Linked DNA regions of Ovis aries. The main gene of each other region encodes a partner of the protein of the gene in region 3 in a complex. Links are inferred from orthologs where the notes say so. Each region holds a gene or a part of one and is shown on either strand. Other genes may lie near its edges.

What was found.
Region 1: ACTR2 (region 3) and ARPC1B share a complex: the UniProt entries of both Homo sapiens proteins name them as parts of the arp2/3 complex. The link is inferred for Ovis aries from reciprocal best matches to the Homo sapiens genes ACTR2 and ARPC1B.
Region 2: the proteins of ACTR2 (region 3) and ARPC5L are in contact, whole or in part, in a cryo-EM structure (PDB 6YW6), measured with the Homo sapiens proteins. The link is inferred for Ovis aries from reciprocal best matches to the Homo sapiens genes ACTR2 and ARPC5L. Residues at the interface, in NP_005713.1 of Homo sapiens: Tyr225, Glu263, Phe266, Gln267, Arg319, Lys322, Gln323, Ser338; in NP_112240.1 of Homo sapiens: Arg11, Arg12, Val13, Asp14, Ile15, Asp16, Glu20.
Region 4: ACTR2 (region 3) and ARPC5 share a complex: the UniProt entries of both Homo sapiens proteins name them as parts of the arp2/3 complex. The link is inferred for Ovis aries from reciprocal best matches to the Homo sapiens genes ACTR2 and ARPC5.

Annotation. Positions count from the first base shown.
Region 1 is NC_056077.1:37,454,943-37,459,075, reverse strand, and holds the start of ARPC1B (actin-related protein 2/3 complex subunit 1B), read left to right. Parts: upstream 1-1,322; 5' UTR 1,323-1,375; intron 1,376-4,133. UniProt on the Homo sapiens protein: Component of the Arp2/3 complex, a multiprotein complex that mediates actin polymerization upon stimulation by nucleation-promoting factor (NPF).
Region 2 is NC_056056.1:11,024,873-11,027,324, reverse strand, and holds the end of ARPC5L (actin-related protein 2/3 complex subunit 5-like protein), read left to right. Parts: intron 1-61; coding exon 62-238; intron 239-1,400; coding exon 1,401-1,463; 3' UTR 1,464-1,948; downstream 1,949-2,452. UniProt on the Homo sapiens protein: May function as component of the Arp2/3 complex which is involved in regulation of actin polymerization and together with an activating nucleation-promoting factor (NPF) mediates the formation of branched actin networks.
Region 3 is NC_056056.1:43,123,871-43,128,169, reverse strand, and holds the start of ACTR2 (actin-related protein 2), read left to right. Parts: upstream 1-1,439; 5' UTR 1,440-1,552; coding exon 1,553-1,600; intron 1,601-4,299. UniProt on the Homo sapiens protein: ATP-binding component of the Arp2/3 complex, a multiprotein complex that mediates actin polymerization upon stimulation by nucleation-promoting factor (NPF).
Region 4 is NC_056065.1:64,118,539-64,122,104, reverse strand, and holds part of ARPC5 (actin-related protein 2/3 complex subunit 5), read left to right. Parts: intron 1-2,232; coding exon 2,233-2,409; intron 2,410-3,566. UniProt on the Homo sapiens protein: Component of the Arp2/3 complex, a multiprotein complex that mediates actin polymerization upon stimulation by nucleation-promoting factor (NPF).

The DNA.
Region 1 (4,133 bases), on a different chromosome or scaffold from region 3:
GTCATCAGGCTTCCCAAATTCCAGAAGGTACTGCTTTCTCCTCTTCATCCGAATAGGATGAAGGATGACTGCTTTTCTCCAGTCTTCACCCGAAGTCCTGGGCTTTGCTTTGACCAACTCTTAGGTCACAAGTCCAGGACTAGGGTGAGAGCACTGCAGGGGGAGGAGGCCGCCATCGGAGGTGGGGCTCAGTCCCACCTGGAGGTGTTCCCTGGGCATCTGCGAAGCTGGGGAGAGGCAAGTGGAATCCAAGGATGCAGGTGTCACCGCAGCATTGAAGTGCCCTTGTCCTTACGGGAGGGGGAGTAGCCGGTACAGATCACTTGAAACTTTTTTCTGACTGAAGCCATCACTTATATTTGCCACTGCTGGATGTGGTGGTGTGGAGTTGGGGGCGGGGGTCCTGCTAATAGCCCCTCAGTGTCTGCCCAGAGCCAGGAAGGAGCTAGAGTTTACCAAGCACCCTGTGTGCTCATCTCAAAATGCTCCTCACCTTTGGGCGCATTTCCTCCTCCCGGCCACCCGCAGGTTGGGATTGTGTAATGGGAGCTGGGACCGGTGAGCCCAGGACCCTGTTGAGGGGGTCAGGGACAAAGTGACCTAAGAGACACTGACCCCTGTCCTGCAACATAAAGGTAAGTGGGCCAGGTGTGGACAGGGCGTGTCAATGTTCCAGGCAGAAAGAAGAGCAAGGGTCAAAGCCGGGAGACATGTGGGTGCCCGGGACCTCCTGAGACCCCACACCATCCGCCCATGCCACTTAGTGTCTGGCTGAGCGGAACGCTGGGGGAAGCGCCACCTGCCGGTCATCCCCATTGATGAGGCAGGGGGCAGGGATGGAGAGACCCCTCTGGACCACCTGGCCCAAGACCCACCACATTCAGGCGGCTGCGAGTCCGCTGTGACTTAAGGACGGGAAGCGGTCTGCGGTGGAAAGAGCGTCAGGAAGTGGGCCCTGGGAAGGGGCTGGACCAGCCGAGGGCTCCCCCGTTTTGACGTGAGGACCCCGGCAGCAGGCCGGCGGCCCGGACTGCCCGATTGCCCAACACGCCCCGCACATGCGGAGGTCTGGTCCCCGCTGGGAGGGGCCCGAGGCCGACAGAGAGTTGCGCCCCTCGCCGAACCTCAGTCTCCCCGCCCAACACGCGGAGAGGAGAGCAAGCCTTCCGGGCGGCCCGGGTGGGCGCGGCCCCAGGCGGGGAGGGAGGGAGGGCGGGCCCGGGGCTCCCCGCCCGCCGCCCGGCCCCGCCCCGGCCCCGCGGGGCTGAGCCCGGAGGCCCCGCCCCCCGCCCACGAGGAAGTGGCCGCGCGGCGCGGCGCCCAGAGCCGGTTCGGCGCGTCGACTGCCCAGAGTCCGCGGCCGCGGCGCCCCGAGGTGAGGGGGCGCGGGGGCGGCCCGGGATGCCGGGGTCGAGGGGAGCGCGAGGAGGGGGCGCGTGCAGGTGGGGAGGGCGTTGCGGGGGTCGCCAGGAGATGGGGGGCCGTGGGGAGCTCAGGGACGAGCAGGGGGCACTGAGGGCCCCCCTGGACGTGAGCGGGCGCGCGGGGCGCGGGGTGCGGGCGGGCGGGCGGGCGGGCGACCTCCTCCGGTCGAGGGCGCCGCAGCGCTCGCCGCACTCCGTGCCTTCGGGGCGCGCGAGCCCGCGCGTCCACCTCCGCGCCCGGCCCTCTCGGCCTCCCCTCTCTCCCGTCCCCCGAGCCCCGACTCTGCCCGGCCGTCGGTGTCCCCCGTTATTTCGAGCCGGAGGGCCCCCACGCCCAGTCACTTCCCCTCCATCCTTCAGCCTTCCGGGTTCCTCCAGCGGGGAAATGAGCTGGCGCCCCCGCCCGCCTCGCCCCTCCTCCCTCCCTCCTTCTCTCCCGGCCCCCAGCCCTCCGCCGACCCCGGGGCCAGGTCGAAGGGGTCCGATCCAGGGGGGATTGCTGGGGTCCGGGAGGCGGACCTCCTGAGCTCGCGGGCGCTGGACCGGCGCGTTCCGAGCAGCCCCTGTCTCGCCGGCGGCCCAGGGACCGCGGCCAGGACTGGGGCAGGGCCGGGACCTCGGGGCAGCGACGGTGACACAGAGGTTTGCTGGCATGAAGCAGCCTTAGCGGGCCCGGTACAGACGCGGAGCTGGAGGGCTCTCCGTTTCATCTGGGCTGTCCCGGGAACCCTCCACCCCCCCCACCCCCACCCCCAGCCTGGCGGGCACTGCTACCCGGTGGTTAAGAGCACCCTGGGCTGGCAAGGTCTTCCAGACCAGAAGCTGCTAAGAGCGCCAGCGTCTTCCTTCACTGGCCACTGACCTTAGCAAGCCGCCTAACCTCCCTGGGCCTCAACTTTGCTTACCTGCAAAATGAGGAACTTTCAAGCTGGGAGGTTTACATGTGATCATGTGTGTAAGACACTTGGCAGTGTGCCAGGCACACACACGGACTAAATGTGCACTGTTATTGTCCTTGCTTTTATTATAAGGCCTGCCTATACACTTATCACCTCTGAGATTTAGAGTCAGAACCCCACACTGTGCCGTTGTAGGAGCTGGTGACCGCGCACACTTTGGTTTTTGTCTGCATCTGTTTCTTACTCGTTAAAACAAACACTAGAAGAGTTCTGGGGCTTCTCTTAGGGCGTAAAAGAGAATGTATGTCAAAGTCCTGGGTAAATTCTGGGCATTTAAAGAAGCCAAGTAAATTAGTTAATTATGTATGTGTATATAATCCACACGTCTTAAATCAACGTGTTTGCTGTTTCTCTTTATGTTTGTAGTCATCTGCATTTTTCTATCCTGTCACCATTATAAAGAGAGTTACTATGAACATGTTTGCTTTAAAAAAAAAAAAAAAGGCAGTGGCCGTGTTTTTTAGCATTGAAATGAATTTATGCCACAAAAAAATGTTAACAATTTTAAAGTTCCTGTTAATGGTATTTTGTTCCGTTTGTTTCCACCTGGTTGGTTGGAATTGTATGTTACCACACTGCCCTTCAGAGAGACTTAACAAATTAGCAACAAATGAGAATTTCTCCACAGTCTTGCCAGCATCAAGTTTCATGTGTTTGGGGGTTTTGTTTGTTCTGTGTTATTTTAGCTAATGCTTTATGGTGCCTTAGGATGATTTTCACTTGTCTTGCTTGACTTGACTTTGCCTGGCTTGTAAGACCTCAGCAGTGGAGTTGGGGAGGAGGGATTGGTTGGTCTTTTGGGGTGTCTAGGGTTGTTCCACACACAACAGGAAGTTGAGTAACAGCTCAGCACGAGTGCAAAATGGCTTGCTGGCAGCTCCCTCGAGTGGCTGAGCTGGGTGGGGACTTCCCTGAGTGTCTGCAGAGCAGAGTTCCTTGCTCCAGGCAGCTCCTGCCTAGTTTAGCCTCAAATGCAGCCAAACCTCTGGATGCAGAAAAGGCCGGGCTGGCAAAGCTTCTCTGAAAGCAAGAAGGAACCTACACCCAGTGCCTCGTCCAGCCCCAGCCTTTTCTGGATAGAGATGTGGGGGAAACATTGGCAGGAGCACCCAGTCAGTATCAAGAGAGTCAGAATGTGAACCCAGCGTGTAAGGAAGAGACGTGAGGTCTGAGACCCTTGGCTGAGCAGCTGGGAGCTTCACCTGGTTTGCTTTGCTTTGGAAGGGCGCTGTATTCTCCCCAAATCCTCACAGAGGACCTTTTAAATGAAAGATCTCTGAGCTTTTCGGATCATGGACCCTATCAGGAAAAAACCTTGAGCGCATACTCCCAGTAAATATTTACAAGTTGCATATATGTACCAGTGAAATAATAGGGCTGGTCTGTAAGGAATAAACTAAGATAGATGTGATTCATTTATGCAATCACAGTCAAGCAGTATTTGCTGAGCACCTACTATGCGCTGGGCACTCTTAATTGGTACTGGGGAAGCACTTATGAACAAAACGAATGCCCCTGCGCCCATGGAGTGTATGTTCCCACCCCAGTATGTGGTCCTTGGCAACCCCTGCCTGGACACCCAAAGCTCCTCCAGCCATCAGGCTGCTGTCCTTTCCCTGTACCCTCAAACCCCAGCCCTGGGTGATTCCCCCGTCCATTCGTCCTGAGCACCACCGTATGCCAGACATGGGGGAAGTGCTGCCTGGAGCACAGAAGGATCCTGGCTCCAGGTTGGTAGCGGGCAGCTTGG
Region 2 (2,452 bases), about 32 Mb from region 3:
GGGACGTGGGTACGCCTGGGCCATGGCTCTAGACCCCATTCCCTCTCTCTTTCCCCTGTAGGAGCGGGCCCAGGGCGTGGTGCTGAAAGTGCTTACAAACTTTAAGAGCAGCGAAATCGAGCAGGCTGTGCAGTCACTGGACAGAAACGGCATTGACTTGCTAATGAAGTACATTTATAAAGGGTTTGAGAAGCCCACAGAGAATAGCAGCGCAGTGTTACTCCAGTGGCATGAAAAGGTACGTGAACACATTGCCCGCTGGCTCACCCCAGCCCAGGGTTCAGATCAACAGGCCAGGCAGTCCCAAACACAGACAGGATGGTCTGATAGGCCGTTGAGAATGAGGGCCACGCCTCAAGCAACCTGGAACATCTGAGCACTTTCCTCTCCCAAGGAAGCACTGGTAGGGGTCCACCATCTCTGGTCATTGCCATTGCTTTAGCTGAGTTTGTGCCGGGGAGGCCTTGGGGCCTGTAACTTGGCTGGTGAGGTTCAGGTAGGCTTGCTGGTGGCAGGGCTTTGACATACTTTCTTTGGGCTGGCGGAGGTGGTGATCCTGGGCCTTAGATGCAGGCTGAGCCCTCCGGTTAGCTCTGAGGGCTTCCTGCTCCAGCCTTACCTCACCAGGCCACACAGAAACAGTGGTAGATACCTTGGCAGTCTCTTAATAGGACCTTCATCCTCCTGAAGCTGGAAAAGCTGGGCCTGTCCTTTGTTTTAGTACAAGGTGTTGGGGGGTGGGTAGGGGGTGGGGGGGTGGAGGGAGGGCCACCTCTTGTCAAGCCAGTGTCCCTCATGAAAGGCTCTGCCGAGTACTAAGGGAGTGGCCCTTAACTGAGGGGTCAGTCACATGGCCAGCCTCAGGCCTGGGCTGAATTGTGGCCTTTGGTGCTGCTGGTGGGTGTTCTGCCTGCCCTGCCAGAAGGTGAGCTCCTGGGCTTCGTAATGGAGGTGGCTATGGTGCTTGGGAGCTGAGCAAAGCCCTTGGAGTCGTCTGAGGGGCCACGCTCTCTGGTCCCTTCATGGCAGCCGGATGCATGAGCCTGTGGACATTTCCACTGCAGTGGGCTAGTGTCTGTTTTAGGGCCTAGGGCTGTTTCTGGATACAGTGAGCTTGTCAAAGGGAAACTGGGGGGCTCTGTGAGCTTGGTGACAGTGTTGCAAGCCCAGTTCTCCTGCCTTAAAGAGCCAACAGCTTTTGGGGACCCTTTGTTCCAGGAAAGGGCTCGATCCGTCGAATGCAGGCCCTGTTGACACCTCTTCTGTGCTCTCGCAGGAATGCTTTTTCAGAAGATCTGTGACATGGTCAGGAGTGTAGTCCTGTCTCCCCTGGCAAGAAGCTAGGAGCCCCTTGGCCAGCCAGGTCTCAATTGACACCTTTTCTTTTGCTGCCCCTACAGGCATTAGCAGTAGGAGGACTAGGCTCCATTATAAGAGTTCTTACAGCAAGAAAGACTGTTTAAAAAAAAAAGAGAGAGACTCATGTTACCTCAAGAAGAATTTTGGATGCACAGGCTGTCGAAGAAGGGATTGACAATGGGCCGCCTGTCTCGGAACTCCCAAGTCAACTATTTCACGACCTGCATCCGCTGAAGTGTTTTATTTTCAAGGTGGAGGGAGAGATCGTCTGTTTTCATAAATCCTTTGCAGGATCTGATAGTCTATGCCTTTGTCCACGAGTAACGCAGAACTGACATTTTGACTCTACCAGAGTGGCTGGCCCGCCTTGGTCCGGGGTACCTGTGTGCACTGCCTGTTTAAAAGGAGGGAGGGGTGGTTTGGGCAGGTGCAGATCCAAGGGCTGCGGTAAAAGGGAGAGCTAGGTTTTTTTTTGAAGCGGAAACCCCCGAGGGTTTGTACAGACACCCCGACCTCCCAGAGAAGGCGGGCTCTCTTGGGTTCATTGTAAAGTGCCTGCTGCATCAATAAAGCTCTTGGCTTATTAGTATATACTCTGCCGTGTGTTTCATGTGTATAAAAGGAACGGGAAATAAATGGGATGGTCATGGATGAGAGGTGGCCTGTTCTGGAAACTGGACGTGGAGTGGTAGACAGACAAAACTCCCTGCAGAGCTGCCTGGGAGCGAGCGTGGTGTTCTCACTCTGGCTGCAGCGGTCCCTCGAGCCTGGGCCACAGTGCTGCTGGCTGCTACACAGACATGTTTTGCTGAATAACTATTGTTTTTACTCCTCTGATTTGTATGTAGTTTTGGAGCTTATTTAATAAAGTCTTCAGTTTGTGTGATTGCACTTGGGAGTCCTGGGAGTGGGCTCAGGTGTGCCCATCAACCCCTCCGGACGCTGGGCTTGGCTGTTCGCCAGGAAGACTGTGATGCTGAGGGGTTTTCTTTACAGGAGGGAGAGACAAACAGGTAGGAACAAGCCTGTACACAGACAAGGCACATTTTGTTCCCTGTAACCGCTGACAGTGGGCCTGTCTGAAGAGCAGATG
Region 3 (4,299 bases):
GGGGTTCATCATCCAAGTTTTATTCTTGTCAATACACATGTACAGCAAGTGAAAGGCACAGTTCTAGTTCTCACCTCTCAAATATGATGGCATTTTCAAATAGATTAATGTCATTCATACAATAAATACTTGTTGAGTGTAACAAGCACAATATTCAAACACCCATGGTAAAATAATAGCAAGAAAAGAGAATAAAGAGCATCTTGGAGGTTATCAGCAAAGTCTTCAAAGATGTGACAACCGGCTCTGAGAGCATGTCTCCTGATTGATTAAAAAGAAAAAAGGCAGGAGCATTATAGAGAGAACCAGAAGTTTAACAGGGCTTCCCAAGAGGCTCAGCGATAGAGACTCCAGACCTGCTAATGAACGCGAGTGGGGTTCCACCCCTGGGCTGGGAAGATCCCCACTTCAGTATTCTTGCCTGAAAAAGCCCAAGGAACAGAGAGGCCTGGCGCGCCACAGTCCATGCGATCACAGTCAGACACGACTGAGCACGCACATTCGAGTTTAAGAATATGAAATTAATAGTAAATAGCGTCCACTGAATGGATTGCTTACTTTGCTGTGTAGTTTCTAAGTTTGTCCCACCCATGACTATAGCCTGCCAAGCTCCTCTGTCCATAGAATTATCCAGGCAAGAATACTGGAGCGGGTTGCCATTTCCTTTAAGCATACAACCACCCACGGAAGAGCGACTGCTATCCCCGTAAATAGACGGGGGTAGGCCCAGATCACATTAGTCTTCGTTGGCAGGGCCGTATTTGAAAGTAGGGTTGCCCCATTTCAAAGTCGAGAGCCTGTGAAACAGGTACAATAGAGGTGTGAAGCAATATGGTGCTGCTAGAAGGGAAGTGGTGAGCAGTGAGGCTCACCTAACTAACGGCAAACCCGGACGAGATGGGCTGGACTGGAATCAGGGGGATCTGTATAAATGCAAGATTTCATGTGTCTATACCCATCCCAGCTCTGCCTGCTGAAAAGGCCTAGAAGCAATGACACACCAAGTTTCATTCAATGGTGGGGATAGTAAGGGTGTCTTCTGTTTCGGCCCTGCCGGCAGGCTTCTCTGTCACATTCCAAAGCCCTCTCGCCACAGACCGTTGTCCTTCATCTGCCTGCAGCCGGAAAACGCCGAACTCCTGCAAAGCCTTAGAAAGCAGGGGAAACTGCCTGCCAGCTCGGCTACTATTACTGCCCACCAAAGGGTCGGGAACAAGACGCCCACAGGAAGAACCCGGAAGGGCGGCGACCCTAAAGGCGGAGCAGGCGCGGAAGCCGGGCTGGCGCCGTAGGCGGGGCCTCGGGCTCCTTTTTTTCTTATTGGAGTGCACCACTGCCAGTCTCGGCCTCTTTCCTCCCGTCCCCGCCTCTTCCGTGCAGGCAGTTTGTTAGGTGGCGGGTGAGAGCCGGCGGTCACTTCCGGTTGGGGGAGAAACGTTAGACCGAAGGCGGGGCCGGGAAGAGGGAGGAGGAGGAAGAGGAACGAGAAGGGCGGTGGGTGCTCTAGGTTGTTCGGCAGCGGCTGTGGCTCCGGCTCTCTTCCGGGAGGACGATGGACAGCCAGGGCAGGAAGGTGGTGGTGTGCGACAACGGCACCGGGGTAAGCGCTCGGCGGGGAGGCTGCAGCGGCCACAGGCCGGGGCCCGGATGTGCGGGGGGCGCGCGGGCCTAAAGCGCCCGGAACTGCACCCCTGGGACCTCTGCCGGCCGGTCCGAGGGCCGCTGGCCAGCGCTTTCCACCCGCGTGGGTGTGGGGCTCGAGCGGACTGGACCCCTTAGTAGCCCCGAGCTGGGCACTCCCGCAGCTCGGGGTAAGGACGGCGGGCGAGGCCGATGATGGTTGGGGTTTCCACCTGCTACCGGTCCGGGGCCGGCCCAGCGCTCTAGCCGCAGGAATTTGGCTCGAGGGCTGGAGGGGTAAAAGGCTGGGCTTGTGCGTTGCGAAAGGGCTTCACTCACCAGGGTCGCCGATGTGTAAAAAAGGAGAAAGACCAAGAGGCCTTGCTCTTCCTGTAGAGTTGAAGATACGGAACAGGAGTCAGGAAACGGGTTTAAAGAAAAAAGGGAACTGCTGTCATGCAATGAACCTCAGTCCTTTCGCAGTGTCTGAGGCTTTTGTTGTTTTGTTTTCTTGTTTTCTGAGAGAATGGAAGGCCAGATCAGCTGTGCATCATTTACGTTTTGTTCTCCATGCTGGAAATTTGGCCCAGGTGCAGCCCCGCAGAGACCAGTATGTTTCCGTGGTTGATCTTGATCCTTTAAGGCCCAAGTAGTAATTCCACTAACCTTAGGGAAGTTAACCTTAGGAAGTTTGGGTACCCCTCCTCCTTTTTTCCCTTATTGGCAGACTACAGTTAATGTTAGTATTTAAGATCCTAAAATGCAAATAATTGTAAAAATCAGAGTAAAACACTGATTTAGACGTTATTTGAAAGTTGTTTCTCTTAGTTGCCCCTCCCCCCAATAAAAAAAATTTTTAGGCAGCAAAGTCAGCAAATTAGAATACAGAACTGTTACTTATTTTGGATGAGTTCTGTAGTGATCACTTCCCCTGCATTAAAGCAATTTCTAACCATTTTGAAGCTGCAGTATTTTGTCGCTTTATCCCCTTCCTTCCATAAATGTAATATATGAATTAAAATAGATTTTGTATGAACTTCAAGTCACTTTGGAAACTGGATCGTTGAGGGGAAAAAAGAGCTGATATTCACCGCCATAATACTGCCTTTGATTGAATTTTTACAAGCAGTGATTATACTAGCTTTATCTGAACTAAGTTGAAAATAGATGAGAGTAAGAAGAGTGTTATCATTTAATACAACGTTCATACAAAATAGCATAGTACTTAAAAAGAGGCAGCTTCCATTTATGTGCGTGTTCTTTATTAAAGTTATTTATGTGTCCACAAATGTATATGTGTATGTGAAAGTTTTGAAGGGATTTGTGAGAAATTTATGTTCGTCGTGGTTATCCATGAGACTAGGGATAAGAGTGAGGTCAGGTGGGAAGGACTTCATGACTCAGTTATTGGGAAAATGTTCTTTATTTTTTAACAAAACATGCAATGTTAAACTGTCTTTAAATGAAATTATAAATGTGTTCCTTTTACAGTTAAAACTCAGTTTAAAGGTGCTTTTTTAAAAAAAAATTGGCCTAATTCCCCCCTGTAGTCTCAAATTGACATCTAAATAAATGTAAATCTTTAAAAAAATTGATACTAATGTATTTTTTTTGTGACTATGTCAGTTTTGTTTTTTTTTTAGAAATCGAAGTCTGTTATATTTTAATGGATTCCTCCTCTTTGAAGGACAGAGAAACCAGTTTTTGTAGTATATGTTATTTCATAATATGCAATTAAAAATCTTTTTTTTCTTGTTCTTAAGCTTTTTTTTTTTTTTGGCTCTGTAGCATGTGGGGATCTTAGTTCCCTGGCCAGGGTTGGAACCCACGTCCCCTGTAGTGGAAGCACTGGACTGGCAGGGAAGTCCCATAATTAGTTTTATGTTACTGTTTCATTAGCTTGTTACAAAACTCATTGTATATTTGATTAGCCTTATGTCTATAATTTAAGAATCTTGTTCCTTAAGACAAAAGATAAGTTACTGTGACATAAGTAGAAAAGTGTAGTTAATTCAAACAAAACTTTGTGTAATGTTTGGCATTGTATTTCTAATTACTTTAAATATCCAGATTTTCTATAGGACATGATTGACTTAATGAAGAAACTCCATGAAGAAAGCTCTGATGTAGTATGTAGTCAGGAATGCTGTGATATTTCTGAAAATTTAGAGAATTAGGAGCCACTTAGAGTCTGTATTTCTTATACTTCATAGTCCTGTTGATTTTATTTAGGTACCTGAAGGTCTAATGATTCCTCTGTGATTAAGAAGATACTAAAATTTAGTTTCTAAAAATTTATGAGAATAGTTGTTATTCTGAAGCAACTTACCTCTTAACACATTTTAGGTTTTAAAATTATAGGCCATTTGAGAAGTTGATTTTTTTTTAAAGCCTCTCTGGCAGGCCCTAAATGGAAAGCCCTAAGGGTAGATGAGTTCTTACAGTCACATGCCAGGTTATGGTCCTGCTCCTCAACCTCTCCAGCTCCCAAGCTGGCCAGTGCCTCTGTAGGGCCTCCTAGAGGAGGAAAGCGCATCCGATTCCAATACCTTATGCACTTCATCCTCATAACCATCCAAACCTAAAATGGAGCCTGTGTAAACCGCCACCTAACGTAAAGCTGCGGAAAGTGGCCAGATAGGTGAAGATGTGGAGATCTGCTTCAGCTTAGGTGCCTTT
Region 4 (3,566 bases), on a different chromosome or scaffold from region 3:
TCTACCATTCTCATAGAATTAAATTCTAATATTTAATTCTGTTAAATATTATTGAAAACTCAGAAATGTGGGGGAATGAAAATAATTATAATTCCATACCTGTAGATAATCATTACTTTTTGTTGTTGCTGTATGCTTATAGAGTTTTTCTATGAGTTTTTCTTTTCATTAAAATAGATAAACTGCTTTTCATCTGTATAGCAGCATACATGAACAGCTTTACTTGGTAATAAGTTTATTTCTATAATATCTTTTTTAACATCTGTATTTTGATAATCCTGCAGTTTAGTTATATATAAACTTTCATCATATATTTATTGACTTTTTTCCTGTCATAAATAGTATTGAAATGAACAATTCTTGGTAAAGTCTGAATTGTTTCCTTTGAATAAATTTCTGGAAGTGAATGGCTGGATTTTAGACTGCACATTTTTTTAAGGCTACATATGGTATTGCCATACTACCCTTCAGAAAAGTTGTAAAATTACATTGCCTCTTAACCATCTTTCAGTAATTCTTAAGAACCTATTTACTTAATTGTTTAAAGCCCAGATTAAATTTTTTTTCTTTTTTTTTTCAGATTAAATTTTAATGTTTAGTTCTGTTAAGTATTGTAGAAAACTCAGCAATATGGGGGAATAAAAATGTAATCGTCCATAATCCCACACCCAGAGCATTGATCCCCCCACTGTCCATAGCCATTCACACATCCTAGGAGCCCCAAGTATCTCCTTAGTTAAATACTAGTAAATAATAACTTAGGTAAATGCATTATTATCTAGGCAACATAATCTTTTATAAGAGGAAATGCTTCTTTGGTTTTTAAAAGTGAGTAACGTCATTGAAATTTCGTTTTACCACCTTCTGCTTTTTTGTGGGTGTTTTTTTTTAATCAGAGCGTGTGGGTGGGAGGTTATAGCTCTCCATACAAGGATATTTTTCTAAACGGATAATTGCATAGTCTTTAAACTGAAGACAGCAAAAGGTGGTAGAAGCATACTGTAAGATCATGACCGGCAGGAATGCAGAAGGTATCACTTTGTGTTGAATAGAAAGAGAAACATTGTTGAAAGGGGAAATTAAGTGTTCTGTGTACTTGGCTTGCTAGGTGAAAAGCAACTGCTGTTGGAGCAGTCATTCATCAAAGAAAAAGATCATTATAAATGAAGACCACTCTAATACCTATAGTCACTTGACTATAGATGTGAAATGAAAAATAAGTTTTAGAAACTTAAATTTTTATTTATTAATAACATTTCTGAAGGATGCATCAGGGTAGAACTATAATTCAGTTTCCTTCTTTTGGTCTATTTTTTTTAAATCAAGAAGTGAAATGTATTGATTTAATACATTGATAATTTGTTACATCTATCTGTAAGTAAACCCTTTCAGCTCTACCTTCAAATATGTCGAGACTCTGTCTGCTTCTGGCTGCCTCTGCTGCTGCCATGCCAGCCAAAGCCAGCCTGTCTTGGTGCAGGAACTTCCAAGCTGGCTTCCAGGCTTCTGTCTCCTGCTCCCCCGACCCTCCTGCTGCCCCGGGCTTATTTTCAATATGACAGCCAGCTGGTCCTGTTAAAATGTAAGTCAGATGACATCACTCTTTTTAGAAAGAAAGAAAGCGAAAGTGAAGTCGCTCAGTACCATAGCCTACCAGGCTCCTCCCTCCATGGGATATGTAAGTCAGATGACATCACTCTTTTTAGAAAGAAAGAAAGCAAAAGTGAAGTCGCTCAGTACCATAGCCTACCAGGCTCCTCCCTCCATGGGATTCTCCAGGCAAGAGTACTGGAGTGGGTTGCCATTTCCTTCTCCAGGGGATCTTCCTGACCCAGGGATCGAACCCAGGTCTCCCGCATTCCAGGAAGACACTTTAACCTCTGAGCCACCAGGGAAGTCCAACAGCTTCTCATTTCTGTGACTGGAGGCCAGAGTTCTCATAAGGGCCTGCAGGGTTTACGCGTTCTGTCTTCCTACTGCCTCTCTGACTTCCTGCCCTGCACTCCACTCCAGCCCCCTTCATCTTCTTGCTGTCCCTTGAGCACACTGAACACACGCTAGCAGCAGTTACTCTTCTCTCTCTGAAATGTTTGCCTCAGATACACCCAAGGTGTCCTCTTCCTTTCTTCAGGTCTCTACCCGAATGTCACACTCGCAGTGCAGCCTTTCTAAAAACTGGAACTACCCAACACAAAAATGAGACTGAACGATCTGTTGTTTATTTACCTTCAGGATCGCGCAGGCAGCATTGTCTTGAAGGTGCTCATCTCTTTTAAAGCTAACGATATTGAAAAAGCAGTTCAATCCCTGGACAAGAATGGTGTGGATCTCCTAATGAAGTATATTTATAAAGGCTTTGAGAGCCCCTCTGACAATAGCAGTGCTGTGTTATTGCAGTGGCATGAAAAGGTAAGTCATGAATTATACAATCTGTATGACTGGTTCCTTTGTAATGGAAAAAACATTGACAACCTCTAGCCTAAATACCTGTTTTGACTCTTTGGTTATACATTGGTGGTTACTACAAATAAATGCATGAAAATGAAAGTTTAGATTTATGCTTGCTAGCCTTGGTCTTGAGATGCTGATTTGAATTCTTTAACAATTGCCAAAAGCTGGAAAACCCACGCATCCATGAACAGATGAACGTGCATGCATGCGTGTGCAGTCGCTCTGCTCATTCATGTCCAACTGCGCAGCCCCATGAACCATAGCCCACCAGGCTCGTCTCCATCAGATCTTTCAGGCAAGAATACTGGAGTGGGTTGCCATTTTCTCCTCCAGGGTATTAGCCCACATCTCCTGCATTGCAAGTGGATTCTTTACCATTGAGCCATCAGGGATGCCCAAACAGATGAACAGAATCTGACACAGACATACAAGGGAATATTACTTGACCAGAAAATGTTTATCTACATGGTACAGCATGAATGAACCTTGAAAACATTATGCAAAGTGAAATAAACCAGATACAAAAAGACACAAAATACTGTATTCCACAAAATACTGTGATGGCTCAGATGGTAAAAGCGTCTGCCTACAATGCAGGAAGCCTGGGTTCGATCCCTGGGTTGGGAAGATCCCTTGGAGAAGGAAATGGCAACCCACTCCAGTATTCTTGCCTGGAAAATTCCATGGACAGAGGAGCCTGGTAGGCTACAGTCCATGGGGTCGCAAAGAGTCGGACATGACTGAGCGACTTCACTTCACTTCACTTCCGCTTGCATGAAATATCTAGAATAGGCAGGTTCATAGAGACAGAAAATGGATTAGAAATTACCAGTGCCTGTGGAGAAGGGAGACTGGAGAGTTATTGCTTAATGGGTACAGAGTTTCTGTTTGGAGAGATGGGAAAGTATTGTAAATAGATAGTGGTGATGGCTATACAATATTTGAACGTAATTAATGCCACTGAATTTTATATTTAAAGATGGCTAATGTGGCAAATTTTATGTTACATATTTTATCACAGTTCTAAAAAATGAAATCAGGAGTAGGATCAAGAATTCTTAATTTCTTTTTTCTGTTTTCATGCATTTTGCTTTGCAGTATTAGCAGATGCTGGT